3 linked regions of the Alligator mississippiensis genome follow. The protein of the gene in region 2 interacts with the protein of the main gene of each other region in a pairwise test. Links are inferred from orthologs where the notes say so. Each region holds a gene or a part of one and is shown on either strand. Other genes may lie near its edges.

Region 1 (7,377 bases), on a different chromosome or scaffold from region 2:
TCATGGAGTGGCACAGTCAGATAGAGGCCACGGAAAGAGAACCCTCCCCACCAACACACACACAACCCTCCCCGCCAGCCATGCTCTCATTCGGTTGCAGACCATCTGGGAGAGCATGGCTCTTGTGAGATGAATGACTTTCCATTCCCAGGGGTGTTGAGTCAGCCCCTTCCACCAACCAAGGACCCTTTTCTAACGAATGGATTCACTTGTAGTGAATGATTGCAGGTAGAAACATACCAACTGACTGGAGAAACCCAGCATCCCGTCAGCCCTTCCTATAGGGACAAATGACATCAGGGCCCTGTATCACACCAGCACCATGCACCACTTCTGGGGAAACGGCTGCAGTCGCAGCTCGCAGGCGAGAGGCTGTAAACCACGCATCCCTCCCAGTCCATGCTGGGCGAAGGTAGCGAGGGATCCATGCGGCATCCCCGCTCTGTGCAGGGGCACCTCGCCCCTCCCAGGCCTGTGCTTGGCAGAACCCCCTCTGCCTGCCCCTCCCTGCAGTGGAACGTACTGTTGACAGCAGGTGCTCCACTGCGCCAAGCAGAGGGAGGAGGCACCCCCAAAGACCACACTCCCTCCAGGTGTGGGCCCATCTGCCAGAAGCCCATGCCACTCCTCCAGGCTGGCAGCATCTCTGAGCCCGCCAAGGCCTTTCCTCTGCTAATCAGAGGACCCCAAAGCTGCCGCTCCTCCAAGGGCTTGTTTGCCCTGGAGACTGTGGCACAGACTCAGCTACTCAGGTACTGCCAAACCAATGCCATCTGTTAGTGCCAAGAAAAGAGCTTCCTCCACCTGCAAACTGAACTGCACGAGTCACTGACACAAGGGGTCTGGTCTGGGGCAATGACAGTAGCAGCCAGGGAGCAAGGAGGCAGCAGAAAGCAAGGTGGAGCAACCCCCAAAACACTGTTTCAGGCCCTCTCTGGCCCCCAGGCACAACCCCGGCCCTTTTTAAAGTCTTGGCACATCCCCTTTGCCCACGAGGTGCATACAGGGCTGCTATGAGCCTCTCTGCAGCTTCCAGCATGCTCGCTTACCCAGTGCTTGCGGTCTACGTCCTCGTCCGCATCCCATTTCCGGGTCAGGAAGGGGTGCTTTTTGCTGATGATCTCCCCCTCAAAGAAGGTGGTGAGGGTTGGGTACTCCTAGAAGCAAGCACACACACACACACACACACACAGAGGGGACTGAAGGGCATTCGGAAGATCTTGCATCAGAAACACCAGAGATCTGCCTATGAGGAACCCATTCAGCAAATGCTTTCATCAGTACGATGCCATGTGGTCTGAGACACGGCTGCGATGCCCCCTCCTTGTGCTGAGCAAATCATCTTATGCTTCCCTGTATATTTGCACCAGCCCAGCCCTTCTCATCTCCTCCCCCAGCCACCTTTCCAGGCCTTTCCCCTGCTCCTGGAACATCCCAGAGCAATACTGAATCCAGAGGTCTGTTGTGTGCAAGCTCAGCAGACCCTAGAGCAGAGGCCAGCTGCTGCGTATCACCTGTTAGAGCAGGCAGCCTGCCCCTGGAGAAGCCTGTAACCAGCATTAGAACAGTATCGGATGACCAGAGCATTACCCCAGTCACCTTGCTGAACATCTACTGAAAACAGAAGCAGCTCCAAGATGCTGAGGGTGGAAAGGTGGAGGTCAAAGAAACTCCTACCTGTCTGTTTTTAATTTAAGCAACATAGAGATGCTCGTAGCGAGCTCACTGGTCACAGCACAGCACTCAAAGTGACATCAGGGACAAATTTGGACCCAAGTTTTCCACAAAGTTGGTTACACTCATCTCCCACAGCAATGCCGCCAAATGCAGGTGACTGCTCATTACACCAGCTTTGCTGCGGGTCAGCCGGCTGGACCTTTATCCCTCGACACCGAGGTGGTTGACTGCGTTAGTCTGGAGTGAAGGCAGGGTGGCACCTGAGAGCCTACCTAGTTCAGAGGCATGAGATTTTGTCAGCAACAACCTACTTCACCAGACATTTCATCAGACCAGTGCACTCCTAGCGTCTGGCAAATTAGGTTGCTGCTTAGGAAAGCTCAGGCCTCTTTGAATCAAGTAGTCTCCAAGGCCCAGCCCTGCCCTGCCCTGCTAGACCAGTGTCTAGAGACCTACTCCCTGCTTCCAGAAGGAGAAAAAGATTCCTAGTTCCTCTGCAGGAGGTGCTCACCTCTGTAAGGCCTTTGATCTTCAAGTATCCGCAGAGGTAGGAGTTCTCCATGTCCACGTGCTGGGGGAGAGAGCACAGAAACCGTTCGTGAGCCTATGTCCCCTCAGCACACGGCTCCGGAGGCTCAGCCAGGGCTGCACGGCTCAGCTTGGGTCGCGAGATCACACAGCGGTGAGCAACATGGAATGAATCACTTCCAGGGACCTCGCTCACCAGCCTTGACCAGACGACCATGGAACATCTTACCTGCTTCCAGCAAATTAGTAAGACCTTGGTCTGCCACCCAGGGATCAGAGAGGAAAAGGAGTCAGAAGTGATTCACTCGGCCCCAGTGCCTCAGAGACAGATCTCGGATGAGATCCTTGTCTCCTAAACCTGCTCCAGCCACATGCTACCAGTGGTTCAAAGAGACCAGAGGGGATGTCCTCAAGCAAGATCTGTCTCCACTTCCCCTGGCCCTGACCGCCAGCTTTGGCTTTGAAGTCAACTCTGTTAACACGTCATCTCTCCTCACTTCCGCAGCGTTCCCAACCTCTGCTCTTTACCCACCCAGACACCATGTCTGGCCCTTTACGAGCCTGTCCATCTGCGCTGCACACAACAGCCTTCTTGGGATCCTCTGCCTTCAGAAGCAGCCCTCGCGTACCCTCAAGTGCCTTACTCACAATCCCAATACTTTGCTTTCTCTCCTCTCTGTGACTGGGCTTACACCCGATTACCGAATCCACCTGCCACAGAGAAGCAAGGCACTGAGCTCTTCCATCACGAGCCCCGCGGTAGCTACAGAAACTTTTGCTCTGGACTCTCCAAATGACCAAGGGAAATCTCCAGGCACGTGGAAGAGTCTGGAAAACGCAGGCGTTGAATGGGAAGGAGGACCTTTCCCACACGGGACCTCTACAGATGGAACAGCTGCAGGTCTCACGGAGGACACGGGCAGACACACGAACATGGACGTGCACACGCGTGACACGAGGGTTAAAGCCGGGAGCCCCGGCAATCTTTGGGAGAAAAAGGGCCTGTAGTGAGGCCCATCCACCATGGGATGTCTCCACTGAAACGAGCGGGCTCAGGTACGCTCGTGCGGCTGACAAGCGCGGCGCGGTCAGCCAGGATCGACAGGGCGGTCCAAGCCCTCGGCAGGTCGGCTGACCTTGGGACTCGGACATTGCTCGACCGCCCTGCCCGGGCACCGGCCGCTCTCACGCACTCGCTGCAGGCGGCCGAGGGCCGGCCGTGCCTCCGCAGCCGGCTGGAAACAAAGCCACAGGCGGCCTCACGAGAGGATCGGATATCCAACGTGCTTCTTTCCACACGACCCCCCGGCTCGCCCGCGCTGCCCAAGGCCGTCGCGCCCGCGACTAAAAATAAAAGCCGGGCGGACGGTGACCCCGCAGAAGGCTGCGGGGACGAGGATCCCCTTGATCCGGCCGCGGCCGGCAGAGACCACGGTGCCCCCGGCTGGGCCTGGCCCGAGGAGCGCCCTGGGGACGCCCCGGCCCCCAGCCCCACTGGAGGCAAAGGGAGGGGGACCTAGCAGCCCCCCGCCCGCGCCGGCTTCAGCCCCCGGGCCCACTGCCCTGGGGCATCTCCCTGGGGGGCAGGGGGCAGACAGCAGAGCTGGGGCAGGCAGTGAGGGGCAGGTAGCGGGGGGGGTGCCCCCAGGAGTGGGGGGGGGGCAGATGACGGGAATGGGGCAGGCGGGGGGGGGAGTTAAAATGAAGCGAGGCTGACATGAAGGGGGGCCGCCCCCCGCGCGCACCTGCATGACGACCTCCACGTCGTAGGCGTTGCCCTTGCTGCGCTGCTGCCCGCGGAACTTGGCGCCGCTGTAGAGCAGCGAGGTGGCCACGCCGGGCTGCGCCGTGTTGATGGGCGGCGGCGGCACGAGGCTGGCGGCGGCCCCGCGCCCGGCGCCCCCCGCGCAGCAGCACTCGCTGCGCACCGGCATCGCCCCGGCCCCGCCCGCCGGCCCGGCCCGGCCCGGCCGCCCCGGCCACCCCGGCCCCGGCCCGCCGCTCGGCCTGGCGCCGCCGCGCGCTCCCATTGGCCCGCCGGCCCGTCACGTGGCGCCGGCGCGCCGCGGGGGCCGCCGGGACGCGTAGTTCCCCCGCCTCCACTCCCGGCGCGGGGACGGGGCGGCGCGAGGCACAAAGCGCGTTTGTGAGGCGGATTGGCCCCGCGGCGCGGCAAGATGGCGGCGCCCAGGGACGGCGCCTGAGCGGGCCGCGGGGATGTGGCGCGGCTGCCGGCGGCTGCTGCGGGCGCCGCTTCCTCCTCCTCCTCGCCCGGCGCGGGGCTACGCGCCGCCCGCAGGTGCCGGGGCAGGGGCAGGAGCCGGGTGGGTCGGGACGGGGCCTTGTCCCCGCTCTCACGGGCCCTTGTCTCCCTGCAGAGCGGAAGCGGTTCTACAAGCGCGTGGGCATCTCGCGGGGCGAAGGTGAGTGGGGCCGGGGGGAGGGTGAGCGGCCCCTTCCCCCGCCCGCCCTCCCTCCCTGCGGCCCCGCGGACCTCCCCCTCTGCCCGCCCGCCCAGGGGGCTTCGAAATCAACCTGGACCAGCGGAAGCTGAGGACCCCCCAGGCCAAGCTCTTCGCGGTGCCCAGCGAGGCCCTGGCCGTGGCCGTGGCAGCCGAGTGGGACGCCCAGCAGGACACCATCCAGCTCTACGCCATGCACCTGGTGAGCGCCGCGGCCGTCCCGTCCCGTCCCGGGACGCGCCTGCCACGACTGTTTTGCTGCCCCCGCGCGCGCAGATCACGGCTCGGTCTCTCCTCTGCCCCTTGCTAGGGGCCGTGGCCTCGTGAAATTCTCCGGCCTCCCTAACGAAGCCGAGGAGGGGATTCTTCCGCTCTGCTCGGCCTCCGTGAGGCCACAGCTGGAGCGCGGCATCCCGTCCCAGGCGCCGCGCTTCAAGGAGGACGTGGGAAAGCTTGAGAGAGTCCAAAGAGCCGCCCGCGAGATCGGAGACTTGCGCGGCAAGCCGTGCGAGGAGAGGCGGAGGGACCTGGGCCTCTTCAGCCTGGGAGAGAGAAGGCTAGGAGAGGACGTGGTAGCAGCTTATTGCTGCATTAGGGGAGTACATCAAGGGCTTGGTGAGCAACCCTTCACCAGGGCATCCTTGGGGAAAACCAGGGGTAATGACCATAAACTCCTGGAAGACTGTTTCAGGCTCAACATTAGGAAAAACTTTTTCACGGTTGGGGCGTCCGGACTGTGGAATAAGCTCCCTCCAGAGCTGGTGCAATCGCCTACCCTGGAAATCTTCAAGAGGAGACTGGTTGGTTTCCTTGCTGGGGTCGTCTGACCCCCCGTTGTCTTTCCTGCCGGGTGCAGGGCGCTGGACCCGATGATACTGCAAAGTCCCTTCCAGCCCCTTACATCTGTGAAACTCTGCTTCTTGCCTCTTGTCTGCAGACCACGCTCTGCAACACGGCTCTGGACAACCCAACCCAGCGGGACAAGACGCAGCTCATCCAAGCGGCTGTTAAGTTCCTGGAAACGGACACAATCTGGTAGGAGACCTGCCGGGTTTGCTGTTCGCTGGGGGAACACCTGGCCAGGCCAGGCCGGACCGGCTGTGGTGGGACTCGGGATCCCTTCCAAGAGGATCTATTCGAGCCAAGCCACCCTGCATTGTTTCTGCACCAACAGGCCTCTATCTCCTCCCCGCTCTGTGCCCCTGAGGAGCTCTCCCAGGCCTGCGCTTCTCCCCATGAGATGTTGCCGGTGGTCCTGAGTATCTGCTAGCGCGGCATTGCCTTTTTCCTTGTCTGCGCTTGGTGTTACCCTGCATTTGCCCTGAGCACTCCTTTACCTCAGCTGAGCCCGTATTCCTGCCCCTGAGCTCTGGGACTGCTGAGGGCTGGACCAGTCCTTGGCCTCTAGGCTAAACTCGGAGCAGAGACCTGCCTGAGCTGCTTTGGGGCTCCGAGGTGGCCTGATGGGTTTGTTCATGCTGGGGCCTGAGCTGGCTGCCTGACCTGTGAACGCTGTTCCACTGGAGCCCCACAAACATTGCTGGATTTACCACAGAGCAGAAGCAGGCTGCATCCCTTCCACGTGGTACCTGGGCTGGCAGGTAGCTGCGCCCGCAGGTGGCCCCTGTGGGGCCTGCAGCTTCTGCCAGTGTGGAACTGAGGGCAGCCCTGTGCTCCTTGCAAGCTGGCATCTCCTGCCAGCCCAGGAAGGGGCTTGCATTTCCAGGGGGGTTTTGCGGCACGTGGCATTAAGACAGCTGGTGGTTTGTCTGTGACGGTCGGTTCTGGTGGTCCTAGTTACAGGGTGGAGGAGCCAGCTACCCTGGTGGAGCTGCAGAGGAACCAGTGGGACCCCATGATCGAGTGGGCCGAGAAAAGGTAGGAAGCCAAAGGCTCTGTCTTTTCTGCAGTGTGCCTAAGGCGCTCATCCCTGCAATAGCTCAGATGAGCACTGGTGGCAGTGGGCCAGTGTGCTGTGTGTTCAGCTCGTCAGCCCTGAGAGGAGGGCATAGAGGGGTACTGAGGAGGCTTTGAAGGACAGAGGCTGGTCTTAATGGCTTCAGGTGCCCAGCAGCAAACAGGGAGGGGAGGATGGTGTCGCAAGACTTAGGATGCTGGGCTGGAGGGGGCATGCAGCGAGCCCAGCCTGCCACAGCAGTGGGGTTCCTGATGCCAGCATACATCCAACTCTTCCAGGTATAACGTGACGATCGGCTCGTCGACCAGCATCACTGGGCCCACCATCCCTGTGAGCACCAGAGAGACCTTCAGCAGCCACTTGGCCTCGTACAACATGTGGGCGCTGCAAGGTAAAGGGAGCAGCTTCTCCATCTGTCTGTCCTTCCAGGCATCAGCCCACAGGGAAAACGTTCCCTCCCCCAGAGGCAAATGACAAGCCAGTTAAGCAGAGGAGGGTGCTTTCGATCAACAGGGTGGAGAAGGAGACATCCCACCTCAAACTTTCTTCCACTGCCTCTGGGCAGGGCCTGTCTAGGCCTGGCACAGGGGTCCCTGTGAACTTAAATTGCAGCGTGTTACACCCTGTTAGTAGAGAAGGGGAATTCCCTGGGTCTGAGCTATCCCAAATGCATAGGTATCTCCTTTAGCTCACAAAGGCGACCCACCATCATATGGCAGCCTGGCTGTCCTGGCCATGTGCTGCTGCCCCAGTTCCAGAGAACAAGCCCAAGCCCACCTCCTTGCCCAAGCC
Region 2 (7,971 bases):
ACACATCCCATTTTCTTTGTGCGAATATTTTGGTGAAACAATTATTTTTGCATTTCAAGCTAGTGCAAAATTTGAATGTTGTCATGCTTTCAGTGTGTGGGCATTTTCACCAAAAATGGGCTTATTTGTACCCCACAAAGAGGTTTGCCTACAGGGAGTTCACTGAAATTGATAGGCCTTTGGTCCATGTAATTGATAAGCCATATGGGGTCTACCTAAGCAAATCAGTCTGAAAGACTGGGGCTATATTAAAAGGTAGGCCATGTTTTCAAATTGTCCACGTCTGACAGTATCTCTTTGGATTGCACTCTCAGCAAGATAAGCCTTTTATTATTTGCCTTACTGCATAAAATGACTGCTTGATTTATTATGTATTATGTGCAATGCAATAATTGAATATTCTACAACTTAAGTGAGTATATCATGTCATCCCATATATGTACTGTTTTTGCATTTTGCACAAAAATTTTGTCTTGCAGGAGCGACTGGATACTTCAGACTTTTCACACAGACTATTTCAATTCACTTTTCTGATAAACAAGAACTAAATTGAGCCAGAAACATTTATTTTTCCAGCTCAATACTGCAATAAAGGCCTGCAGTAGTTAACGCCCAAACAAAACTCACAACCCTCTATGAAACAGTGTTCATTTAGTGAAATCGAGGAGGATTCCAAGTGAATAAAAGGAACTGGCAGGAGCAGCAGGAGTATTTTCAGGTGGCAAGCAAAGGCTAACTAATGGACTAGCTTTCCCAGCTTGTTTCAATTTATATTTTTGGAAAATAAATATAGGCTCAGAGTTTTTTGGGTGGATGAGTATAAAATAGTAAATTACTAACAGATTACTTCCTTAAAAAGAATTTTCCAACTCCAGTCTCAGGAAAGAAGTGGATTAGAGTATTTTAGCATAGAACCCCTCACAGGAAAGCATCTTTCCAAATACCTTACATAACCCAAGGATGAATCCTAACATTTCATTTACAGATTATTGCTTTTGGGGTTTTTTTCCAGTACAGATAACGTAAAGTGTTGTTCTTATAAACTATCATGCTAAGTACAGACAGTAAAAAAGCCTCAGGCTAAATCAATTCAATCTTCAAAGGTAGTCTAAGCTACGTAGATTGAAATGAAAAGCAAGTGAACAGACATTCACTTTTGATTCTGGAAATGCAGCAACATGCCTGCAGTGGCCCAAGCCAGAAGCCAAGGGGTGCTAAAGCATACCTTCTTACTTGGCTAGAGCAGACAGCTTGGACCAATGTTAGCCACCAACCCTGCAAGAGGGAGGCGGGTTGCAGGGGAAGTGCAAAGAATCCTGGGATATTGGGGGACTGTGAGTTAACTTGAATCTGGAGGGGATCTGGGACAGAAGTTCAGTAAACCGACTTAACCTAAATCATTTAAGTCTGATACTACATCCATCCAGGTTTACCTTAAACTGGTTTCAACCATTTTAAAGTGATTTATGTGAACTGAACTTCTGTTGTGTTACAGATTTGACCTGGTTTACTATCACTTATACCAGTTTATGTGTAATTTCTGTCCGTAGCCAGAGTTGTCTTGCTACCAGTAGTAACTGCAAGAACCTTACTAAGCAAACAGAAGGATCCCTAGGGAAAGGCTCCATTTTTACAAAGTATCCCACAGTGTAGTTACATGTAAAAACTGATTGGATGATATAGCTCCTACTGAGAACTTGTAAGACCAGATTTGCTATTTTTATTTATGGCTGAATAATTCTGCTAGACATTACTGTAAAGGAAAAGCATGAATTACATCTGTGTTCTGGATACTTTATTTATTTTTAATCGATTCTTATGGATGTTTAAGAAATCTTAGAGGTCAATCAACAAAACCTTTAAGTATTTGCTTAACCTTAGACACCTGCCTATGTCTCTTTGGCTCCAGGTACGTAAGTACTTTGCTGCATATGGATGATTTAAGTTTAAGTTTGTTTAACTGTATTGCTGAATTGGGCCTTAATATTTATATTCCAATATAATTTCAGGACCTGTGAACTCCTATACACATGCTCAGCTTTATGGACGTGAGCAGACGCACTGAAATGAATTCATTATCATGCAAAGGTATGTATCTGAATAAATGTTAACAGAATTGAGACAACTGTCTTTGCCTACAGTATTGCAGCTTGTGGAGGAAAACTTCAGCTGCTTTCAGTTAAAATTTGACTGTAAGACTAACCACATAGAAGACAGTTTGTGCCAAAAGACACCAATCCAAACTGAACTCGTTTTTTAAAAAGGCATTTAAAACCCTGAGACTGGGGGATAGGGCAAGGAAGAATATAGCCCTAATTTACACCAATGGCTTAATGAAATTGCATGAGATGTAAAATGGTGGGGGGAGGGGCAGGAGTGGGGGTGGGTTTACAGAAATTTGCAAACATGCAAACAATTTGTTGAAGCAGTTTTTGTTCAATAACTTTTTCTCCATACACATCAATTCACTTTTAATATTCTTCACCAAAGACTTAAGTTTTCTCAGGAAAAAGAAGAAACAAAACGAGACTAGCTAACAGAATTTAGTGAACTAAGTTTGCTACTATCCTTGGCAGCTAGACTAGTATTTTAAAACCAGTTAGGATAGAATGCAGTAACACTGCAATTAAGTTGCAAGGCCTTCTTTCTTTGAGAATGCATCAGGTTACAGAGGGACTGAACCATAAATGTATGCTGCAGTGAAAATTCACTGCTGTTTTGCTATGGTTTTACTTCATAGTTACAAAGGCCCACACTTAAAAGTTTTGTTTCTAAAAAAGTATAACGCTTGTTCACATGAGTATTTCCTTTCACATTTGCTTCTTCAAACAAGTGAGAGACAATTGAATAATAAAAAGTCAAAACAGAAGATGGTTTATACTTACCTCTCTGTCGTCCTGTGCCTTTGAGTCATATATGGGCTTGTGGGCTGTGACCAGCTTTCTGTAGGTAGAAATCAATGGACTTTAGCAGTTGAACATGCTGCCCAACAACAGAGCATTAAGACTCAATTTGATCTCTATAGGAAGAAAACTTTTATTGGTTGTGGCACACAAGGAAATGGGTGACATCACTAATGGTAGTAAAGAAAAGCCTCACTGCATAAACCTAAGTAATTTAAGGTTCAGCAAACCGCGCCCTACCTGTCATTTATCCTAGAGGCAGGGTGGCTGCACATACCTGCATGCACAGACTGCTTAAACAATTGTTTGCAGCTTTTCCTTTTCCTTTGAACATGCATTCAGCTGCATTTTGAGTTACATTTTCCCTTATTGTGTGACCTTCTTGCCACTAACTCTGAATCAGAGCTGAATTAAAAAGCCTAGAAATTGAATCAGTGGCAAATTATTTTGTCCCGAACTGGTCTGACACTGGCAAAGCTCGCTGAGATCTTTTGTGCCATTTTTAAAATTTCTTTACAGGGCAAAACATAAGACATGATAAGTTCTTAATTTGCAATACCCAGGTGTCAGGAACATCAGGTTGGGTAGGTTTGTTTTTTCCTGCTTTTTACTGAAACACCTCTGGGAGGATTGTGAGCACATTCATTGTGAAAGCCTAAACCTTAACTGCCAGGACAAGTGAGCTGACTTTAAACAAAGACTTCTCTTGTGCATAATGTTAGCCAGTCATTGTAATTACACAGGTGTTAGTAAAAACAAAGACTTTTTAATGAGTTTGAGTAGAAATCATTTCTGTTCCTCAACTTTCACTTCCTCAGCCTTGCAATGTGACCACTTCACTAATTCTCCAGTCATTATAGAGCTCTCAGACAGAGATTGTTCTAATAGAAAAAAAAAGCAGGAAATAAAGTGTAAAAATACCTCATAGACCTTTCAAGCCTTTTTTACATAACAAAGGTACAAAAAACCAAAACAAGCCCTCCCCTCGCTCCATACCCTCTTGTCCCCGCCTCCTCCCCCCCCCCACACAGCTATTCTGCAGGACACTTAATTTGCATGCCTCAGTTTATCTATGTATAAAATAGGATGGGTATCTTTTTACAGGTACATATTTTAATGCCTTTAAAACATTTCAGTATCTGCAGAAGAAAGGTGTAGTGTAGGAACTAAATATTTTTTTAAAAGATATTTTTTTCATGTCTTCATGACTCCATCAGCGATCTGGAATATGGCATAGAGTGCATCCTCAGCAAGTTTGCAGATGACACCAAGCTGGGGGGAGCAGTTGATACAATGGAGGGTAGGGCTAGGATTCAGAGTGACGTAGACAAATTGGAGGACTGAGCTGAAAGAAATCTCATGAGATACAACAAGGAGAAGTGCAAAGTCCTGCGCTTAGGACAGAACAATCCCATGCAGGCTAGGGACTGACTGGTTAAGCAGAAAATATATCTGCAGAAAATGACCTGGGGGATACAGTGGACAATAAGCTGAATATAAGCCAACAGTGTCCTTGTTGCAAAGGAGGCTCACAGTATACTGGGCTGCATTAGCAGGAGTGTTGCCAGCAGATCAAGGGCAGTGATTATTCTCCTCTATTCAGCACTGGTGAGACCACATTTGGAGTACTGTGTTCAGTTTTGGTTCCCCACTAGAGAAAGGATGTAGAGAATTTGGAAAGAATCCAGAGGAGGGCAGTGAAAATGTTTAGAGGACTTGGGCATGTGACATTTAAGGAGAAGCTGAGGGAACTGGGATTATTAGTCTGGAGAATAGAAGACTGAGGGGGGACTTAATAGCAGTCTTCAACTATCTGAAGGGTGGATACAAAGAGAATGGAGCTAGAGCAGTGGTTTTCAACCTTTTTTCATCTGCGGAACCCTAAAATATTTCAAATGGAGGTATAGACTCCTTTGAATTGTAAATGTGGGTATTCACATACTTTTGATTGATCATAGTAATCTTTTGCGGACTGCCTAGACATAGTCTCTGGACCCACAAGGGGCCAGGGACCACAGGTTGAAAACCACTGAGTTAGACTGTTCTGTGGTGATAGATGATAGAGCAAGGAGCAATATCTCAAGCTGCAGCATGGGAAGCTTCAGTTAGATATTAGGGGAAATGTTCTCATTAGGAGGGTAGTAAAGCATTGGAACAAGCTACCCAGAGAGGTTATAGAATCTCCATCCTTGAAGGTTTTTAAGACCCGGGTAGACAAAGCCCTGGCTGGGATGATCTAGTTGGGGATGGTCCTGCTATGAACAGGGGTTGGACTAGATGACCTCCTGAGGTCCCTTTCAACCCTAATTTTCTATGATTTATGAAGTAAAAGCACAATTACTTGAAGTTTTACTAATATGCTAGGGACATAGCACTATAATATTTAGCTTAAAATCAAAGCAAGAACACATATAATTATTGGAATGTGCACTAATTTGCTAGCTTCTATATAAAATTTAAAGAAAAACTAGGCAAAAATAGTTAAAATAGTCAAAAGATATTGTGTCATTAGTTCTGTAGTCACTATAGTTAAATGCATATCTTTGATTCAGATTCATAAAAACAAAATCTAGCCTTGAGTGTCTTGACAGTATCTCCAATACTTTACTGTCAGTTATTTCTACACCTGTGTTAATAATACCACACCTGAGTAAAGGTTTTTATCTAGTGCTAAAAACAAATTTGCAGGGCTATTAAATAGTCATTTCTGGTAATGTCTCTCTTCTAACAGACCATAAAACTGCAGAAGAAAGGATTGTTTGAATAATGAAACATCAAGACCTTTAAAAAGCATCATAGGCAACTGGTAAGGGGGTACATGGGGGTGCACATGCCCCCCCTTATGGGGCTGGTGCCTTCCCTGATGGCCGACACTAATGCTGTAGGCAGGGCTGGTGCCCCCCCATGACAGGGCCGCCTCCAGATTCAGGAGGCACCAGTCACTCATGAAATGGATAAATAGTTATTAACACCTGTGGAGTGGAAAAAGATAAGCAGGAATCAGGGAGATGACAATGAGCCACGAAGTCAATTGACTCTCTCAGCACTGGTTGAATAGAAATGTCACTGCCCTTCCCAACCAGTTGGTTTTAAAGTTTGGGTGGAGAAGAAATTGAGGGAGTAGAGGAGGGTGCAACTGAACCACTGCACCCCACTGGGTCTACCCCCATAAATATTTGTTTTTGAAATTGTTTCCATCAATCCCCTCAACAGAATGCAATAGTTGTATATTATCCAAATTCACAGAGATACTTTCCCCTTTCATTTTAACATTAGATTTCAAATGTGAAAAAGCTCTACACTTGTTCTGGGGGTGATGCATTTGGTCAGATGCCACTGACCAATAACAGCATATGAGTTGAGTAGTTTGTATGGTTCAGGTTTGAACCATATGAAAAGGCAGAAAATAAAAGCAATACCTGTATAGAAAGTGAACTCCTTAGGAGCAAATAGCTGACAGCGCCAGCCAACCATTTTTTGGGTCTCCCTGTAAGAAATAGTTTTGGGGCCCCCTACCCTGAAGAAGCCAGCAGCGGCGTTGACAGTGGGGGTGGGGGGAGGGGTGGTGAGTGGCTGGACGTGAAGCCAGTGGCAGTGAACAGCCGGACGTACACACGCACCCCCCATGAGAAAGTCTGAGTGGGGGAAGGAAAAGGGCCATGTGGGGGAGCGGCATTGCCTGGTGCTGCACCCCAGTCCCGGCCACCTCCCAGCCCCAGCCCTGGCTGCCTCCCAGCTCTGGCTGCACCGGCCTCAGCCCTAGCTGCCTTTTAGCCCTAGCCACACCAGTCCTGACCCTGGAAGCCTCCTAGCCACACTGGCCCTGGACCTGGTTGCCTCAGCTGCCTCCTGGCCCTGGCACCTGTCCCAACTGCCTCCCAGCTGCACTGGCCCAGGCCCCAGCTGCCTCCCCACACCGACTTTCTCCCCACCATGGCTTCTACCCCACCCTGGCCCTGGCTGCCTCCCCACACTGGCCAGGGGTGCCCAGAGCTGGGGCTGAGAGCGGGGTCAGCCTTGGCTGTACTGCCAGACTGGAGTGGATGGAGCCCCTGGGACCCCTGCGCCTGCCCTGCTGCACCCTGTGTCATCCCCAGGAAGAGCCAGTAGCTCCTCCAGAGGCACAGCACTGGGCAGCTAAGGAGGGGGACAGCACATAGCCCCCTTATCTTTGCATGGGTGAGGACAGGCTACAGCTGTGAGCTTGGCACAGCCCTATGTCTCTGTGCCTCACCACTTAGAGAGACGGGGCACAGGTGGTCATCTTGTCCATCCTCCCGGTCAGAGGTTGCAGTAGGCATCACAGCGCCTGCATCAGAGAGGTCAACCTGCGGCTCAGAAGTTGGTGCCATAGCGCAGGATTTGGTTTCCTGGACCACGACCCACACTTCCTGGCAAGGGACTTCCTGGGGTGTGATGGACTTCACCTCTCAGTGAAAGGTTAAAGTCTTTTCTCTAACAGGTTGGCTGATCCCTTACATCGGGCTTTAAACGAGCTCAGATGGGGGACAGGGAGGAAGAAGAAGGAGAACATCAGGAACCTGCAATCCATGGAACAGCCAGCAGAACAGCACAGGTAAGCAATAAGCAGGTAAGCAATAAGGGGCCCATTGGGCATCAGAGCCAGGGGGCAACAAAGGTGCCAGTCACAGGGCTCAAGTGCCTATACACCAACGCTAGGAGCATGGGGAACAAGTAGGATGAACTAGCACTCCTGCTTGCAGAAAACACTTATGACTTAGTCGGGTTAACAGAAACCTGGTGGCACTCTACCCATGACTGGGCAGTACACATTGAAGGCTATAAGCTGTACAGAAAGGATAGAGTGGGGAGGAGAGGGGGAGGGGTTGCGCTCTATGTCAATGAGTGTTATACATCGACCCTTATCAAAATGGAATTGGAGGAGGAGAATGTAGAAGGATTGTGGGTTAGGATACATGGAGTCAAGGGGAAAGAGATTTGGTGGTAGGGGTCTGTTACAGACCCCCACACCAAGGGGAAGAACTAGATTTGGAACTCCTGAGGCAGCTCTCAGAGACAATAAAGACTAGGGAGGCAGTAGTCATGG
Region 3 (7,147 bases), on a different chromosome or scaffold from region 2:
TTGGTGGTACCACGTCCTGTGACACCAGCCACCAGAACTGGACAGCTCCTTGCGCTCTGCTCTTCCTTATATATTGAAGGGAGCTCGCTGCACTGGTGCTGGACCCCGGACCCAGAGCCTTCCCCCCCTAGGGAGGGGAATCTTACCCCTTCTCTCCTCTGTCACTTCAACTACCCAGACTGCTCCTGAGCATGTTAGTTAATCATTGCAGGAATCAGGTGTTCATCAAGCCCAAGCCTCTTTACTCGAGTCAGAGGCCAAGTGCCAACATCCTCTCCACGGCAAGGGATGTGGTGTCACACAGGGGACTCTAGTGTTGCAAGGAGTGCACAGTGATGGAGCAAACACCTCAGCTTAGCACAAGCCAGTGCAAATGTAAGTCTGCCCAAGCATAACAGCCCATGGGGCTAGTGTGGTTCATGCACACCCATGTCTGTAGCTAGCAGCACACAAGGGAGTGATGTAGCTGGCATCCTGTGCCTCCCCACCCCGCCAAATGGCCAGATGTTTGCATATAGCTAGATCCACTGACAGCAGCCTCTGGCAGGAGTCCAGAGCAGGCACCTTAGCCACTCTGCCACCGGCAGAGGCAGCATGAAATGATGGTTCAGATGAGACTGCCATCCAGAAGGATCCAATCCAATGAGCAATGTGTTGACATGAGGCCTGCAGAACTGGGGCTTGCTTTTCCCACCCTGTCTCTGCCCTGGGTGACACTTATCCATGCAGAGCACCTCTGGAAACACGTGCACATCCCTTGCCATCCACTGGGGCCTGCCTGCCTGTTCCTATGCACCATGACTCTGCACACCCAGCTTTTAACATAGCTGGATTTTAATCACACAATGCAATCTTAATCGCACAACATTCCCTTTTCCTCCTATTAAATCAATGGGCACATAATCTGTGATTATAAATGCACTCATTTTCCCTGAAAGATAATTACAAAGAATGCAGTTGTTCTGCTCTGGGTCTGGTATTTAGATGGTTATTTTTATTGCATCATTTTGCAGGTGCTCCAGCCAGGAGAGAAAAGTTAGCCCAGAAGCTGGCATTGGTCAGCTCCTGCTTTTCCGAATTATTATCGGTGGCAGTACCCTAATACCTGCTCGCACCAGTCAATATCAAAGCCCTGTAGTGACCGATTCTGCCTAAACCCTTGGCCTGGCCACAGATTTTAGCTGCTTCAAATAACATTTTTTCTGTGGAAAATGTCAATAACATTGCAAAAATAGAGTTATTCTCATCAAATTTTTTGGTGGAAAACCTACTTTCCATCCAAAACAGTGATGCTTCCACTTGTCAGGCAGAATTTTGTTTTAAATATCTGATGAAGAACCAGTTTTTTTCAGGAAAAAGGACTGCTTGAAGTGAAAATATGGTTGTTTTTTTTTAAAAAATCATCAAAAAAACACTGGAAGCAGTATTAGAGTGATATTGTAGCCATGCTGGTTCAAGAAATATCAGTATGTGAGTAAAGAGGTTTTTTCCGGGTGAAGGGGGAGGGAGGAGGCTTCTGGTAATGTTGATGTTGTAACCATGCTGGTAAAAATCTTTACACTTTACTGGAAGATATTTTATCACCCCTGTCCAAGACTCTTGCTGTTGTCAGAAATATATTATTTGTGCAAGCAAGAGAGAGGAACAGCGGGACGGGGAGGGCACAGAGCAGAGAATAGATATGATTCGACTAAGGGGAGGCAAGGAAGGCAGTGGCAGGGGTGGCATGAGGACCCTGGCACCCAGGATCGCATCTCATTTACTGATCAACACTGCCCCTCACTAGCCAGTGCTATTCATTAGTCTGCAGGCACGCTGTAGCAGTCTGAACCCCATTTCTGCAGCAAGTGGGCTGTCTTGGGTGCTGTCCTGGAACGGCAGCTCTGCCTCTGCTTTGTGTTTGAGTAAATGGGAAATTGAGCAATGCAATCATTGCAGCGACTTCTATGTTGGTGTTTTAGATACACAGGTTTGCTGGTAAGTCACTGGGCTGGTACAGAGGTATGGTAAGGGACCCGTTTCACAGTGTAAGCTGGCAGGGTGATTCAGGGAAATATATTTGCAATCAGCAAGGTGTCTTCAAGGATTAGAGCTGAAAACTATGAAGAAAAGGAGAGGTTCCTCCCAGTCCTGTAATGACCTGTCTGGATCCCGCCCCACATCTAGGGTGGCCATCATAGAGGACAGTCCAGTTGTCCTCTGTCCTCTATTGATACGAAACCAACTCTATTTTTCTTGAAGAGAAAAATAGAGGCCATAAAGGCGTCAGGTTTCATATCAATAGAGGACAGAGGACAGAATAGCAGAAAACTGGAATGTCCTCTATGATGGCCACCCTACCCACATGCCAACCAGCCGATCCATTGCCCTTTCCCTGGGCATTATTACACCTTGCATAGCCACCTGCACTAGTGCATGCAGCTCCACCGTGCTTGCTCAGAGGGGCTGGTTGAGTGTCCCCCCTCCACCGCTCACATCCTTTGAGGGAGGGGGACACAGAGCTTTGATTAACCTCTTGCTCTCCAGCAGCTGGGGCCAGGCCCTGACCTGTTACATGTCGTGTTGCCCAGTCACAATATGCAATGCCAGGCTTGTTGTGAAACCCAGTTCAGTGGCTGGAGTCCGTTAAGGTCACAGAAATATTTAACTGCAGCATTGCTCGGGGCAGGTCTGGCTCAGTGTGGCAGCTAGAGGGAGTTGTCCAAGGGACGCAACTTTTGGACGCAAAGACCAGCTTCCCCGGGCTTGGCTCCAGTGGGCTTGGATAGAATCTCAATGCAATGATTTCAGACATGTCTCCCCAGGGGACTTTTCCTTGTCAGCCACATCTCTGCATATCAAAGCCTTTGCAGGCACCTTCTCTCCCCCACACAGTCTACAACCCATTTTACTGCTATTCCTTTGCATCACTGTGCTCCTAGAGGTCCCAACTGGAAGCTAAGCCCCAGCTTTGCTGGTTGCTATGTTTCCCAGGGCCTGATATCTTCTAGGTGCTAGGGCAGGAGCTGCTGAGGCCCTGCCTCTGTATCTCCCCCTGAGCTGGGCATGCTCTGGGCTCTCACTGCTGAAGTCTTGGAGCCCTCTGTTCACTGCTGCTGTCTCCGTCTCACTGCTCGATGTCCTGTGCTGCATCAGGGTTGCCTGTGTGGCTGTTAAGAGGCTGCTAGACAATGGATTTGGATGGGATGGTCTGGGTAGGGGGCTGGATGAGAGACCTTCCCAAATCTGACCCCCAATTCTGCAGCAAGGAGACCAGCTGGGCCTTTAAAATGCTGCGTTGTATTTGAATGACTGGGAAACTGAGCCGTGCAATGGGGGCAGCCACTCCTGCACTGGTGCACTGGCGCTGCTTCTAGGGGGAAGTACAGCATTGGGGCTTTGATCCCTTCCAGCCTCCTGCTTCTCCACCGCTCTAGGATCCCCAGCTGTTTCAGCGGTGGGTGTGGTCGAGCCAGGCACAAATCCAGCTGTTCCAGCGGTGGGTGTGGTCGAGCCAGGCACAAATCCAGCTGTTCCAGCGGTGGGTGTGGTCGAGCCAGGCGCAAATCCAGCTGTTCCAGCGGTGGGTGTGGTCGAGCCAGGCGCAAATCCAGCTGTTCCAGCGGTGGGTGTGGTCGAGCCAGGCGCAAATCCGGCTGTTCCAGCGGTGGGTGTGGTCGAGCCAGGCGCAAATCCAGCTGTTCCAGCGGTGGGTTCGGTCGAGCCAGGCGCAAATCCAGCTGTTCCAGCGGTGGGTGCCGTCGAGCCAGGCGCAAATCCAGCTGTTCCAGCGGTGGGTGTGGTCGAGCCAGGCGCAAATCCAGCTGTTCCAGCGGTGGGTGTGGTCGAGCCAGGCGCAAATCCAGCTGTTCCAGCGGTGGGTTCGGTCGAGCCAGGCGCAAATCCAGCTGTTCCAGCGGTGGGTGTGGTCGAGCCAGGCGCAAATCCGGCTGTTCCAGCGGTGGGTGTGGTCGAGCCAGGCGCAAATCCGGCTGTTCCAGCGGTGGGTGTGGTCGAGCCAGGCGCAAATCCAGCTGTTCCAGCGGTGGGTGCCGTCGAAGCGGCTGTTCCAGCGGTGCCCCGGCCGGGCGGGCAGGCTCCGCCCGCGGAGGCAGCAGCCGCTGGTCCCGGGGCGGAGCCGGGGGTGGGGGGGCGGCGGGGCTCCGGCTGCGGACGGCTCCTCTCCTGCCCCGGACGGCACGGACAGCCCAGGTACCGGGCCCGGGAGGGATGGGGTCCCACAACCCGTGCCCTGCGACAGCCCCTGCAGGCACCGGGCGGGCAGGGAGCGGGGCCAGGCAGTGCAGGGCACACTTGCACGGCGCTCGCCTGTGGGGATGCTGCCAGCGCACCCTGGTGCCAGCCTGGCCCCCAAGTCTGCCCCACCGACACACACAGCCGACTTGCTGCCTGAGTTGCACGCTGGACTCGCTCACTGAGACACTGAGTCGCACACGGGACGGGCTTCCTTGCGCACCGAGTGCACACCGGACTAGCTCCTTCAGACACTGGGTCGCACATGGCACGAGCTTCCTTGTACACCAAGCGCACACCGGACTAGCTGCTTCAGACACCAGGTCGCACATGGGCTGGGTTTCCTTGCACACCAAGTGCACACTGGACTAGCTCCTTCAGACACTGGGTTGCACACAGGATGGGCTCCCTTGCACACCAGGTGCACACTGGACTCACTCCCTCAAGCACCAGGTCACACATGGGACTCGTTCCCTTGGACACCAAGTGCACATGGGACTCACTGTGTCATGCACCAGGTCACACACAGGACTCACTCCCTCAGACGCTGAGTCATTCATGGGAGTCATTCCCTCAGACATCAACTCACACACCTGACTCACTCTGCCTTGCACGATCGCTCTGGCTCACATCCCCTTCCTCCTCTCCCTTGCTGCAGGTACCAAGAGGGAAGGATACACCTGAGTGTGCCCATGGCTCAGGTGCCGGGCAACTGTTCCCAGGGCTCTCCGCCAAACAGTGCCAGCTCTTCGGTGGGACCCGAGCAGATCCAACACCTCTTGCACATGTGCAAGGAAGCCAAGAAAGCAGCCTATTGTCCCTACAGCCACTTCCCAGTGGGAGCAGCTCTTCTGACTGGTGACGGGAGGATCTTCTCTGGTAAGTGAGGATGGAGCCGTAACATCTCAGCCGCTTGTCAAGCCGTGCCCTTCCCTGCCTAGTAGAGCTTCTTCCCCTGAGCTAATGTAGCTACACCGCTTCCCTTTGCAGAGCTGGCTTGGAGATCTCTGCAGAGGGCTGCCCCGTGCTCTTTGGACTCTGTTATGTTCACAGCTAACTCAGGGTATCTCTGCATCTGTAGTATGCCACAGAGTTACAACCCAAGTGCCTCTGCATGGGCAGAGACATCTCACATCCACAGAGTGACGCCTTATAGAGGTACAGATGCTGGGTGCCGGGGTCTGGAAAGCAGCAGGCTGTGCAGTAACAAGGTTTGGTCTGTACTACGAGCACAGTACAGTGGAGAAAGCTTTGCTCTGTGCTTTTTGTATCCTTACTTTTTATCTCCCGATGTCACCTCACTTGGCTGCAGGGGGACTCGAGATTTCACCTGTCTTTTCTAAGCTGAGGGTGGTGTTACAGGTTCCCCTAAAACCATAACATGCAAGCCATCACTCATTAAAAAGTGTTAGCCCGTGATAAGTCCCCTCTAAATGTTTTACAGTTGTGTCGCTTTGAGGTGACATTTATCTTTGAACCATTTTACCCGGGTCATCCTCGGGTACTGTTCGAATGCTCTGGGGAGATAAAGCGCTCTTCTCTCATGCCTCCAGCATCTCAGGGTGCACCTCTGTGGGATGGTGCTGGCTGCAAGGTGAAACCCGCTCCCGTCCCCAGAGGTGTGACCCTGACTGCTCTGCACCCAGGGGCAATGCACTTCAACCGTTTGCTGCTTGCTCTGGCACCTCCGTGCAAACAGCAGCAGCAATCGATTCTACTACCTCCATGGTGCTGGGTCGCAGCGCTGCCCTGGCGTGGCATGCAGTGAGCCTGCTGGGTCTCAGCGCTGCCCTGGTGTGGCAAGCGAGCCCGATGGGTCTCAACTCTGCCCCAGGATGGCATGTAATGAGCCCGCTGGATCTCAGCTCTGCCTTGGTGCAAGCACTAACACAAGTCGCCCCTGCCCCAATCCCAATTCAGTGAAACACATGCAAAATTTTGGTCCTTTATTTATCTTCATTGTATTCTCTTTTCCCCCCACTCCGTTCTCTTTACTTCTCCTGCCACCCACTTCACTTCAAACAGCCTTTTTTTCTCCAAGACTTTTATCTTCCCAAGCCAGAGCCCGCACGCTGGTTTCTTTGCCTCCCAGCTACAACCCCCCTGTCCCCTCCTTTCCCACCCCAGAGCCCCGGCTCCTGGCCAGGCCCCTGCGTGCCAGGCTCTCCAGTGACAAGTCACAGCTGTGCAGGTGTGAGAGGGCATAAAGCCTTAACCTGGGACTGCTCTGAAACTCTTCTCACTTTGTCACCGTGTAAAAACCCCAAAAGTAAAATGTCCCAGAAGTGACCTGTAACAGCACCCTGAGTTTCAATCCATATTCAGCCTCCACCTCCTCTTTCTGACAATGGCCTCACCTGCTTCCCCACCCACTCCAGCACTGACTAGGACAGGGAACTAAACAAGAAAGCCTTTTTTTGCATCCCCGCCTTTGGAAAGTCCAGTGCACCCGCTCAGATTGGTGGTGGCAACGGGGAGGTTGTTTCCCTCGCTGTTTTTGTTATGTTTGAAAAGCTGAAGCTCTTCGGAGGCAAACAGTGATGTGAAACTTTGTGTGTGCAGAGAAATGCTCGTACAAGAGGACCCTAAAGGATCAAAGCTTCAAGAAACAAACCACCCGCTCCCCACACACACATGTGCTGCTTTTTAACAAAAGATTGCTTGATTTTTAAGCCAGTCTCATAATTTTTGGGAAGGCAGGCAAGGAGGGGACCCAGATTCCTGACTTGGATCTCGTTGTTTCATTGTGTTCTTCCATCTCTCTGCATTCACCAGTTGATTCTTGTCTTATACCTACATGATAAGCGCTTTGGGGCTGGAACCACCCTTTGCGGCATAGTGAGTTCTGGGGCTGCGACTGGGGTTTTTAGGTGCTGCGGTAGTACAAATACTGATGATTTCTGAATGGTGGCTG

What was found. The genes of interacting proteins can lie anywhere in the genome.
Region 1: the proteins of LNX1 (region 2) and ATPAF2 interact in binary tests that used the Homo sapiens proteins (3 or more experiments, as listed by UniProt). The two-hybrid records come from large-scale screens. The link is inferred for Alligator mississippiensis from reciprocal best matches to the Homo sapiens genes LNX1 and ATPAF2.
Region 3: the proteins of LNX1 (region 2) and CDA interact in binary tests that used the Homo sapiens proteins (3 or more experiments, as listed by UniProt). The two-hybrid records come from large-scale screens. The link is inferred for Alligator mississippiensis from reciprocal best matches to the Homo sapiens genes LNX1 and CDA.

What each region holds. Positions count from the first base shown.
Region 1 is NC_081836.1:54,885,841-54,893,217, reverse strand, and holds the start of ATPAF2 (ATP synthase mitochondrial F1 complex assembly factor 2), read left to right. Parts: upstream 1-4,364; 5' UTR 4,365-4,422; coding exon 4,423-4,504; intron 4,505-4,583; coding exon 4,584-4,628; intron 4,629-4,723; coding exon 4,724-4,869; intron 4,870-5,604; coding exon 5,605-5,702; intron 5,703-6,464; coding exon 6,465-6,545; intron 6,546-6,863; coding exon 6,864-6,976; intron 6,977-7,377. Other genes in the region: GID4 (glucose-induced degradation protein 4 homolog), read right to left, coding at 1,050-1,157, 2,189-2,248, 3,951-4,139. UniProt on the Homo sapiens protein: Plays a role in the assembly of the F1 component of the mitochondrial ATP synthase (ATPase).
Region 2 is NC_081825.1:59,244,537-59,252,507, forward strand, and holds the start of LNX1 (E3 ubiquitin-protein ligase LNX), read right to left. Parts: upstream 3,018-7,971; 5' UTR 2,886-3,017; intron 1-2,885.
Region 3 is NC_081836.1:5,533,642-5,540,788, forward strand, and holds the start of CDA (cytidine deaminase), read left to right. Parts: upstream 1-4,134; 5' UTR 4,135-4,191; intron 4,192-4,891; 5' UTR 4,892-4,925; coding exon 4,926-5,112; intron 5,113-7,147. UniProt on the Homo sapiens protein: This enzyme scavenges exogenous and endogenous cytidine and 2'-deoxycytidine for UMP synthesis.